Callithrix jacchus: one gene and its partner. The protein of the gene in region 2 purifies or fractionates together with the protein of the main gene of each other region. This does not show direct contact. Links are inferred from orthologs where the notes say so. Each region holds a gene or a part of one and is shown on either strand. Other genes may lie near its edges.

Evidence for each region. Proteins that work in one complex are often made in the same cells at the same time.
Region 1: the proteins of ANAPC15 (region 2) and CDC26 purify together in Homo sapiens (affinity purification with mass spectrometry; 3 studies listed by BioGRID and IntAct, with this or other methods). This does not show direct contact. The link is inferred for Callithrix jacchus from reciprocal best matches to the Homo sapiens genes ANAPC15 and CDC26.

Annotation. Positions count from the first base shown.
Region 1 is NC_133502.1:161,586,148-161,590,415, reverse strand, and holds the start of CDC26 (anaphase-promoting complex subunit CDC26), read left to right. Parts: upstream 1-1,412; 5' UTR 1,413-1,441; exon of another isoform or gene 1,442-1,883; intron 1,884-3,475; 5' UTR 3,476-3,532; coding exon 3,533-3,585; intron 3,586-4,268. Other genes in the region: PRPF4 (U4/U6 small nuclear ribonucleoprotein Prp4), read right to left, coding at 104-284, 1,059-1,085. UniProt on the Homo sapiens protein: Component of the anaphase promoting complex/cyclosome (APC/C), a cell cycle-regulated E3 ubiquitin ligase that controls progression through mitosis and the G1 phase of the cell cycle.
Region 2 is NC_133511.1:68,833,377-68,837,733, reverse strand, and holds the start of ANAPC15 (anaphase-promoting complex subunit 15), read right to left. Parts: upstream 2,855-4,357; 5' UTR 2,777-2,854; exon of another isoform or gene 2,342-2,776; intron 1,610-2,341; exon of another isoform or gene 1,525-1,609; intron 1,406-1,524; 5' UTR 1,396-1,405; coding exon 1,276-1,395; intron 738-1,275; coding exon 678-737; intron 352-677; coding exon 214-351; intron 66-213; coding exon of another isoform or gene 54-65; coding exon 6-53; 3' UTR 1-5. UniProt on the Homo sapiens protein: Component of the anaphase promoting complex/cyclosome (APC/C), a cell cycle-regulated E3 ubiquitin ligase that controls progression through mitosis and the G1 phase of the cell cycle.

The DNA.
Region 1 (4,268 bases), on a different chromosome or scaffold from region 2:
AAAGAATTGAAATTTTTTTACATTATAAAACTGGTGATATTTAAGTTTAGGAAGGTATTCATTACATCAAGAGGTAAAGATGAACTCACAACTTGCATCTTACCAGAGGTTATATTAATATTTCCAGCTTCGATTCCTGCTTTAAGTCCTTCTTTCCCCAAAATCCCAGATTCTCCTTTGGCCAGACGCTCCCTCTCCTTCTCTTCCAAACTTCCATAATAGATATGTGGCTTCTTCACAACCGGAGCAACTAAGTCATCAGGTGCTTTAGTTTTGGTTGCCTGCTAAATCAAAAATCTGACTTAAACTAACGCTTAATCTTAACAATTTGCTGGACTTCCCCAGAGGATGAAGCTCACCCTGAGTTTCACAGTCCTACTTCCTCTGTAATTGAAAGGACAAATTGGACACTGCTTAAGATGTTCTTCATTGATTTGAGGAGATGAGGGTAGGGGGAGGGTGTTTCAGTCCCTCACTTTGGTTGACAGGATTGATAAAACTAGTGAGGTTCTCTCGGGTATTTTTCTATCAAGGGTTTGCTCTGCAATCTGTTTACTTCATTCTGTTGGAAGTGTGCAATCTCGTGTTTTACGATGCTTCCAGGGTTACTGCTCATCACTGGGGAAGTACCAAATATAGATGAAATAACTAACGCGGTGCTAAAGAAGAACAAGTTACAAGATTACTAGCGTATATATTTCAAACGTTTCTAGACCTGAGGCAGTAGGAGTTAGTAGGTCTCATTAAAGTTCTGAGATCTGCCAAAGGCATCAATCTTGGCCAAGACACTTCCCTATTTCAGAGCACCGTTACTGGATCAGTCCGAAGAGATGTTTGCCCTTCAGGGATGTAGTCGGAGAGGTGCAAATAAGCTATAGTCCACGAAAGCGCTTAGGGATCAGGAAAACGGTGCTCGGCTGTCTAGGACACGGAGTCCCACAGCCTTCCTCCTCGGCCCTCCACCGCCTTCTCCCGTTCCCTAACGGCCCCTTCCCGCAAGGACCCCCTTCCCCCTTCGCGCTTCCTGCCAGAGTGAGCTGAGATCCCGGGCTCTGTACCGTGGAGGAAGCTCGCGAGGAAGCCATGCCGGGCTCTGGAGAAAAGCTACAGCGAAACCTGAGGTCTCCGATTCAGATCGTCCACCGCGCGCCCAGCAGAGCGGATGAGCATCACCGATCGGAAGTGCGTCACCGACCGGACGTGTGCCGAGAGCCGTAGCCGCGCCCGGAGCGGCGCGGAGCATGATGGAAGTCGTAGTAGGAAGCGGTGTGATCGTATTGAGGGGCATGCCTCCTAGAACATCGGAGAAAGCTCGCGCAAGACGAGATTCTGCTGAGAGAGAGGCTCCAAGTAGTCTGGGAAGTGTAGTCCAGTTGGCTTACCAATAGTTTCACTGGGGGAGCGGAGGTTCCGGGAAGGGGCTGAACAGGCTTGAAAAGAGGTAGGTGCGTTGCGTCGCGCGGCTCGGGGCTGAACTCTGGAGCGAGTCGAGGACTTCCGGGGTCCGCCGTGCCACCCGGGCCTACCGGAGCGTTTAAGTCTTCCTGGAGCTGAAGACCTTGTTACCATGGAAATCCTCGCCAGGGATCCGAGGTACAGGCTTGGAGCTAGGGGACAAGGGCTGTTTTTCTCCACAATCCGGAAGTCTTCTTAGGGGCCCCCTCTGAGCTTGATGGCTCCGCGGTGGATTTAGGCTGCTAGAAGAGCTCCCTAGTGCCAAAGTCAAATAAAGACCCGGCGGAAGAGCTTCGGCCTGACTTTGTTGATTTGTCTAGAGCCGGTCGTTGTATCAGATTGAGAGTAAGATGATGGATAGGAAGGTGTCAGATAGCTCTGTACGTCCCTGTGCCCTGCTGGATGCTGGGGAATTAGAGACAAACAAGGTAAGTTTTTTTTTTTCTTTTGAGACGGAGTCTTACTGTCGCTCAGTCTGGGAGCGCAGTGGCGCGATCTCGGCTCACTGCAACCTTCGGTCCACCCCGACCCCGGGTCAAGCGATTCTCCTGCCTCAGCCTCCCGATTAGGTGGGATTACCGCCACCGGCCACCGCGCCCGGCTAATTTTTGTATTTTTAGTAGAGACGGAGTTTCACCATCTTGGCCAGAGTGATCTTAAACTCCTGACCTCGCGATCCACCCGTCTCGGCCTCCCAAAGTGCTGGGATTACAGGAGCGAGCCACCACACCCGGCCAGGATAAGGCTTTTATCTCCACGTGGGAGGTGGATGATTCTCAAAACATTGAGGTTTCCCTAGCTGGCCAGATCCCCATCCAACCCCCTAGAAAAATTACAGTAATAATAGATTTTATTTATTGCACATTTTTAAAATGCCAAGTTATGTTCCAAGAGCTTACTCTTTACTCTGCATTATATTATTCACCAACAATAGCAGAGTCAGATACAGATGAGGAAACTAAGGTCTAGTGAGAGATGAAACTAATTATTCAAGATCAGTGGTGTAGTGGGATTAACCTCTACAGCCACACTATTAACTGTTACTCTATACTTCTTCCTAGTGGAGAGTTTTTCACAGTTTGCAGAAAAGGTAAAATGTATAGCAGATTTTTTTTGTTTTTTGTTTTTTGAGACGGACTCTTGCTCTGTCACCCACGCTGGAGTGCAGTGGCACGATCTCGGCTCACTGCAACGTCCGCCTTCCGGGTTCAAGCGATTCTCCTGCCTCAGCCTTCTGAGTAGCTGGGATTACAGGCGCCCGCTACCACATCTGGCTAATTTTTGTATTTTTAGTAGAGACGGGGTTTCACCATGTTGGTCAGGCTGGTCTCAAACTCCTGACCTCCTGATCTGCCCGCCTCGGCCTCCCAAGTGCTGGGATTACAGGTGTGAGGCACCGTGCCCGGCCCTTACTGACTGTTTTTTATAGATACACTCTAGGGGATTTTAGGGGATGCTGTGGAGAATATACAAGTGATGTCATCAACAAATATTAAACTCAATTGGAGGAGTTGTGTTTTCTCAAAAAACAAACAAAACAAAAACAGTTTTTATTAACATTTACTTTGCGATTTCAGGCTGTGGAATGCTCTCTTGAGCCTGTTTTCTACTTCTTTTTTTTTGTTTGTTTTTGAGTTGGGGGTCTCATGGTGAGATCGTGGCTCATTGTGGCAACCCCAAACTCCTGGGCTCAGGTGGATCCTTCCACTTCAGCCTCCTGAGTAGCTAAGACTGCAGGCACACACTACCAGCCCAGCTAATTTTTTTACTTTTTTGTAGCGACAGGGTCTTGCTAGGTTTCCAGAGCTGGTCTTGAGTCTCCTTTGTGCACTCTTCTCTCTGCCTGCTCTTGGGAGTGAGTCAGCTAAGACATCATTTTCTCCAGGAAGGCTTGCCTGACATCCTTGTCCACCCCACACTCAGCCCAGACTGGATTAGGTGCCCGTGTGATGCCAGTGCCTTACCCTCATCAGAGTTCTCATTATGCAATATCAAAGCTTTCTCTTTGTTTTCTCCACAGATTATGACTGTACCTTTTAACTTTGTAGCTGGAGCACAAGAAGTATTTGTTTAATGAATGACGGACACATTTAGGATCTGTTTAAACGCTGAGAATAATTTTGTGAATTGGTGAGTTGGCGTTTTCATGAGATTTAGCAAACTGATTCTAGCATTCAGGAGTGATCACAAATCTCTGACAGTCCTCATGTAGATTAAATTCAGCGGTTTGTCTACTTTCCCCTCTATACTAAGTTAAGATGTGACAGTTTATTCTTTTAGCTAGAATATTTCTTTGAACGTGACTGGAACATGAAATTAAAGTGATGGTTGCCTGGAATTTCTCTCTTTTAGGCAGTTTGCTATTTTAAATTCTTACAGAATAGTTTTTGGATTTTTCAGAGTTGTGGATCTCCGTCATGTATTAAAAATGTAATAATGACATACCTAAAGACTTAAGAAGTCACTGGGCACAGTGGCTTTGGCCTGTAATGCCAGCACTTTGGGAGGATGAGGAGGGAGGAACACCTGAGCCCAAGAGTTTGAGACTAGCCTGGGCATCAGAGAGAAATCCCATTTCTACAAAAAACACAAAAATTAGCCAAGTGTGGTGGTGTACACCTGAGTTCGAGCTACTCAGGAGGCTGACGCAGTAAGATTGCTTGAGCGCAGTAAGTTGAAGCTGCAGTGAGCTAAGGTAATGCCACTGCACGCCAGCCTGGGCAAAGAGCAGACACTATTTCTTAGAGCAGACCCTATCTCTTTAAAAAAAAAAAAGGACTTTAGAAGTCCATGTGTAAATTCAAATGAATTTT
Region 2 (4,357 bases):
TCTACCTAGATCATCCACTGGTCCTGATCCTGTTCGTTGCCTTCCATGTCCACCTGGAGAGGAGGCTGGGTGTGGGTGGGGAGGGGCCTCAGCCAGCCTCAGCCCCAGATCCTGCCCCTGGCTGGATCCAGGGTTTCTGTACCCCTTTGGCCATCAATCGGGTCAGGAGCAGGGGCCCAGGAACAGAGGCCCTCCCCTATACCCCTTGTCTACCTCATTGACCTCTCCATCATCAGGTGACTCATTGTAGTCATTCATCTCGTCCATGTCCTGCATGTCCTCATCATCCTCTGAGTCCTCTTCACTATCCTCATCGTCTTCATCATCTTCTTCTTCCTCGTCATCATAGTGCTGGTGGACAGGAGAAAGCCTGTAAACCCTACAGGCCTGTGTGAACCAGTTCAAGAACTAACCCACTTGGAGCTTCTCTTTAGGGCCAATGAATGACACCCCTCTGACCCCTCAACCCTGCCCTCCTTGAGTCTATCAGGCTGGTGCATGTTCTGCAGGACCTTAGTGCTAGGCCCTGTGCCCACCCCTTCTATCTCCCCTTTTTGGCCTTCACCAAGATCTGAGAACCACAACTGCTCTAGGTCAGAAACAGGACATTCAGAATTAGAGCAGACCCTCGGTCCACCCTGGGACTCACAAAGTCCCCACCTGCTAGAGCCACTCACCTCTGATGCTGGCTTGCCAATAGGAACCAGGTTATTGTCTTTCTCTGCGATGCTTTGGAGCTGTGGGCAAAGGCATGGAGGAACAAGGCCACAGCCCAAGTAGAGCAGGTCAGGGGCATGGGACTGGCCCATTCTACCCAAAAGAAGACCCACACATGTCGGGGAGACGCTTCCTCCCAGTTCTCAGGAAGATTCAATCTCTTTCTTGCCATCTGCCATTTATGAACTTGATCCAAATACCTAAACTCTTGGAGCCTTGGTTTTCTCATATAATTATGTTGAGGATAAAGTGAGAGACTTACCAGCCTAGAAAGTGTCATCTGCTAGATCCTCAATTAATAGTCAAAATTATTTCCTATGGTTTAGGGAAAAGAGCTTGGGCTGAGTGTCAGTAGCCTGAACTCTAATCTGGCCCAGAAGTCCCATGGTCCCCCTGTAAATTAGGGTACTACAAGATGAAAACCCTGGCTCCCTGGCTCCCAGACTGATTATTCCCAGCTCATGGCGAAAGCTCTTCCTGGGCAGATCTCCATAGTAAGGCTCGGTCATGGCCCACTGAAGGGGGTCTCTGTCTGTGCTGTGCTAGGTGCTCACTCACCCAGGCCTGATGCTGCTGTTCCTGCTGCTGCAGCTCTGTCTCTTCCACACAGGGTCGATCCAGATTAAACCACAGTGTCTCAGTCACACGAGGGAAGAGTGAGGGGAACAAAGTGGACATGGCTCCTAGACTAGGAGAAAGGGTCAAGTGAATGTGTTTTGTTTTCATTTTTATTTGGTTGTAATTTGATTTAGGGATAGGGTGGAAGATACCAGGGAAGCAGGCCTCCCCACTAGGAATCAGACAGACCTGGGTTTGAGTCCTGGCTCCACCACTCACTAGCTCTTTGACCTTGGCTGAGTCACTTAACCTCTCTGGGCCTCAGTGTCTTCATCTGTAAAATGGGGATAATAACAATTATACCACCCTCAAAGTTATTCTGATAATTAAGTAAATAATGGATAAAGCCGTTTGCAGGCTGTTGAAGGAGGGAGGGGAATGGGAGTCAAGTGTAGGAATAGAAATCCAGAATGCAGACTGGCATTATGAAATCATACAAAATTAGAGGTAGCAGGGTTCTACTGAAATTATCACTACCTCTTCTGTACACTAAAACCTGCTTTTTTTGCCCCTTTATGATGGTCCATACCGCACCTACCCAGTGTCAGAAATTTAGGACACTAACCACCTCTCTAATGAATCACGGCCAAATGTCGGGGTGGGGGAATTGTAGTATATGCAAGCAGGGTTCAGTAAGACATTCTAGGAGGCATGAATAAGTGGATAAGTAGATGGAAGACTGAATGGATGAACTAACATATAAGATTACAATCAGCTTTGAGGGGCTAAAGGAGCCGACCAAGAGTGCCAGATAATCTGAATTAAACTGAGGACAAGCAAATTGAGGCCCAGCGACAGGCAGAGACTGGCTTTAGGTCACACAGTGAGTCGGGGCTTAGAATTCTCCGGTGAAAGGAATCCAGGCCGGCGCTAGAAATAAGCAGGAGAAAAGAATCGATGCCTGATCCTGCTTTTGTCCTAATTTATCTGACCAACCCAGGGCCAGCTGCTGCCCTTCCCTGTATCTCAGCTTTCCAACCCTTGTAATAGGCACAAGAGCAAACACCTTCTTGTCCAAGAAGTACTGACAGGCCAGAGTTCTTGGCTCCGAAAGCCCAACCCACCGCCGCAAAGCCACCGCCCATTCTTTGCTTATTACGATAATGACCATGCAGTTGACCAACAGAAAGAAAGTAGGGGCGGGACTCAGACAGAAATTTGGCCTTATAGGGTTGCTAAACGCTAAAAAAGCGGGGCCTGAGTAGAACCAATTAACTGAAAGAAATCCTGGGTGACAGGAAGTGACACCAATGAATGACGGATCTTGTGTGACGGGGTGGGGCCTAGTCTCGAGGAAGCGGTCAATGAGCTGGAGATCTTTGCGGGTTAAGGACTCTGAATATGGAGCTCCAGAAGAGTCGGGTCAAAGGAAATGGGTTTCTCTGGGGTAAGAAGGAATGAAGGGGCAAGGAGACGGCCGCAGCCTTCCTTCTGTACTTACCGCGCGGGGAGGCGACCGCCGGCGGCGACCCGGAAGCGCTTCACCCAGCCTGAGCGGAAGAACCCACCAGAATCCGGGACTCACCAAACGCATGCGTCCTTCGTCTCCTTTTGTTGCCCCCCCCCCCCCCGCTCCCGCCCACTAACCCGGATGTGACGTTGACATACCTTAGTCTTATTGTTAGGGAAGGAAGTGTGCCGCGCCTATCTATCTGCCCCGCCTTGAGTCTCAGCCAATCGGCCTCTGCATTCTGGCCCCGCCCCGACAGCTCCGTTTAACCCCTACCCCTTTGTTCCCAGACACCTTTTACTTGTTAACCCTTTCTGAAGAAGAGCTGACCGCAACTTCTTAGTACGAGGGCCATTTGTCCTACTGCATTCCAGGAAAACTAATCTGTTTCTACCCCGGAATCGCTGGTTGAGGTTACGCCCCTCCTGTCTGTGCTCTCTCAGCTTCAGTTTTCCATTTGAGCACATTCATTCTTAATTTTTGCTCTGAACAAAAATATTTGAGTTCAACTATTACTATATTCCAGGCTCTCCTAGAAACTGGGGATAAATCTATGAATATGCTCGCTGCCCTAGAAGACCTCACAGTCCCAGGAAGCCAAACCCTGCAGACTTGCAGTGGACTCCCTGGTCTTTTAAGGTTGCCTATTGAGTTCTCTCTGATATTGGAGATTATGTACAGACTTGAATGACAGCCTCGGTACAGCATTCTGCTGCTGGGGGAATCAGCTTCCCTCAGGCCTGGGCCAGGGCCCCTTACAGGTCAGCCTCTTCACCTCTCCCATTCCTTTGCTGACGCCTCTGTTCTAGTAACCTCTGACTCAGCTTCCCCTTTAGAGATACTCATGTTTTCTGGCAACAGAGGTCCTTCAAACCCAATTCCTATAAAGCTTCATCACTTACCAGCCTCTTCCAGGGCCAGCAGGCATCCACAGTTCCAGTACTGTCCTGGCCAGATGTGTGGGTTTGGGGAAGTCCTTTTCCTCTTTCTGGACTCAGTTTCTTCATCAACCAGCATCATAATCTCTCCCCAGCCTTCCTTTTATCCTGGGCTGATGTGAAGACTAGATAAGAATTGTTCAAGAGGTCGTGTACTGTGCATACTGAATGTGATTATATTGCCAAATAGCACTGCTTCTTATAAAATTTTTCATTAAAGAGTAAACTTTGCCTCTTGGAAATGACTACCTTTTTCATTCATTCAACAAATACCTATTGAGTGCCTTAGTATATGTCTATCACTATTCTTAGTAATGGGTATACAGTAGTAAACAAAACAGAACAAAAAAGTTCCTCTTTTCATGCAGCCTTCATTCTGAGAGTTGTAAACAATAAAGAACATAGATAAATAAAATATGTAGTTTTAAGATTTCAGTAAATACTGAGGAGAAAAAATAAATCTGAGAAGTGGAAATAAAATGTTTGCAGGGGAGGTGTTTTATTTTAGATTGGGGGGCCACAGAAGTCACTGGGAAGGTGACTTCTGAGTAAAGGTCTGAAGGAGGAGAGAGCCTTCTGATTTCAGGGAGAGAGAATAAAAGTGCAGAGGGCCTATAATGGCCTTGAGCAGTGT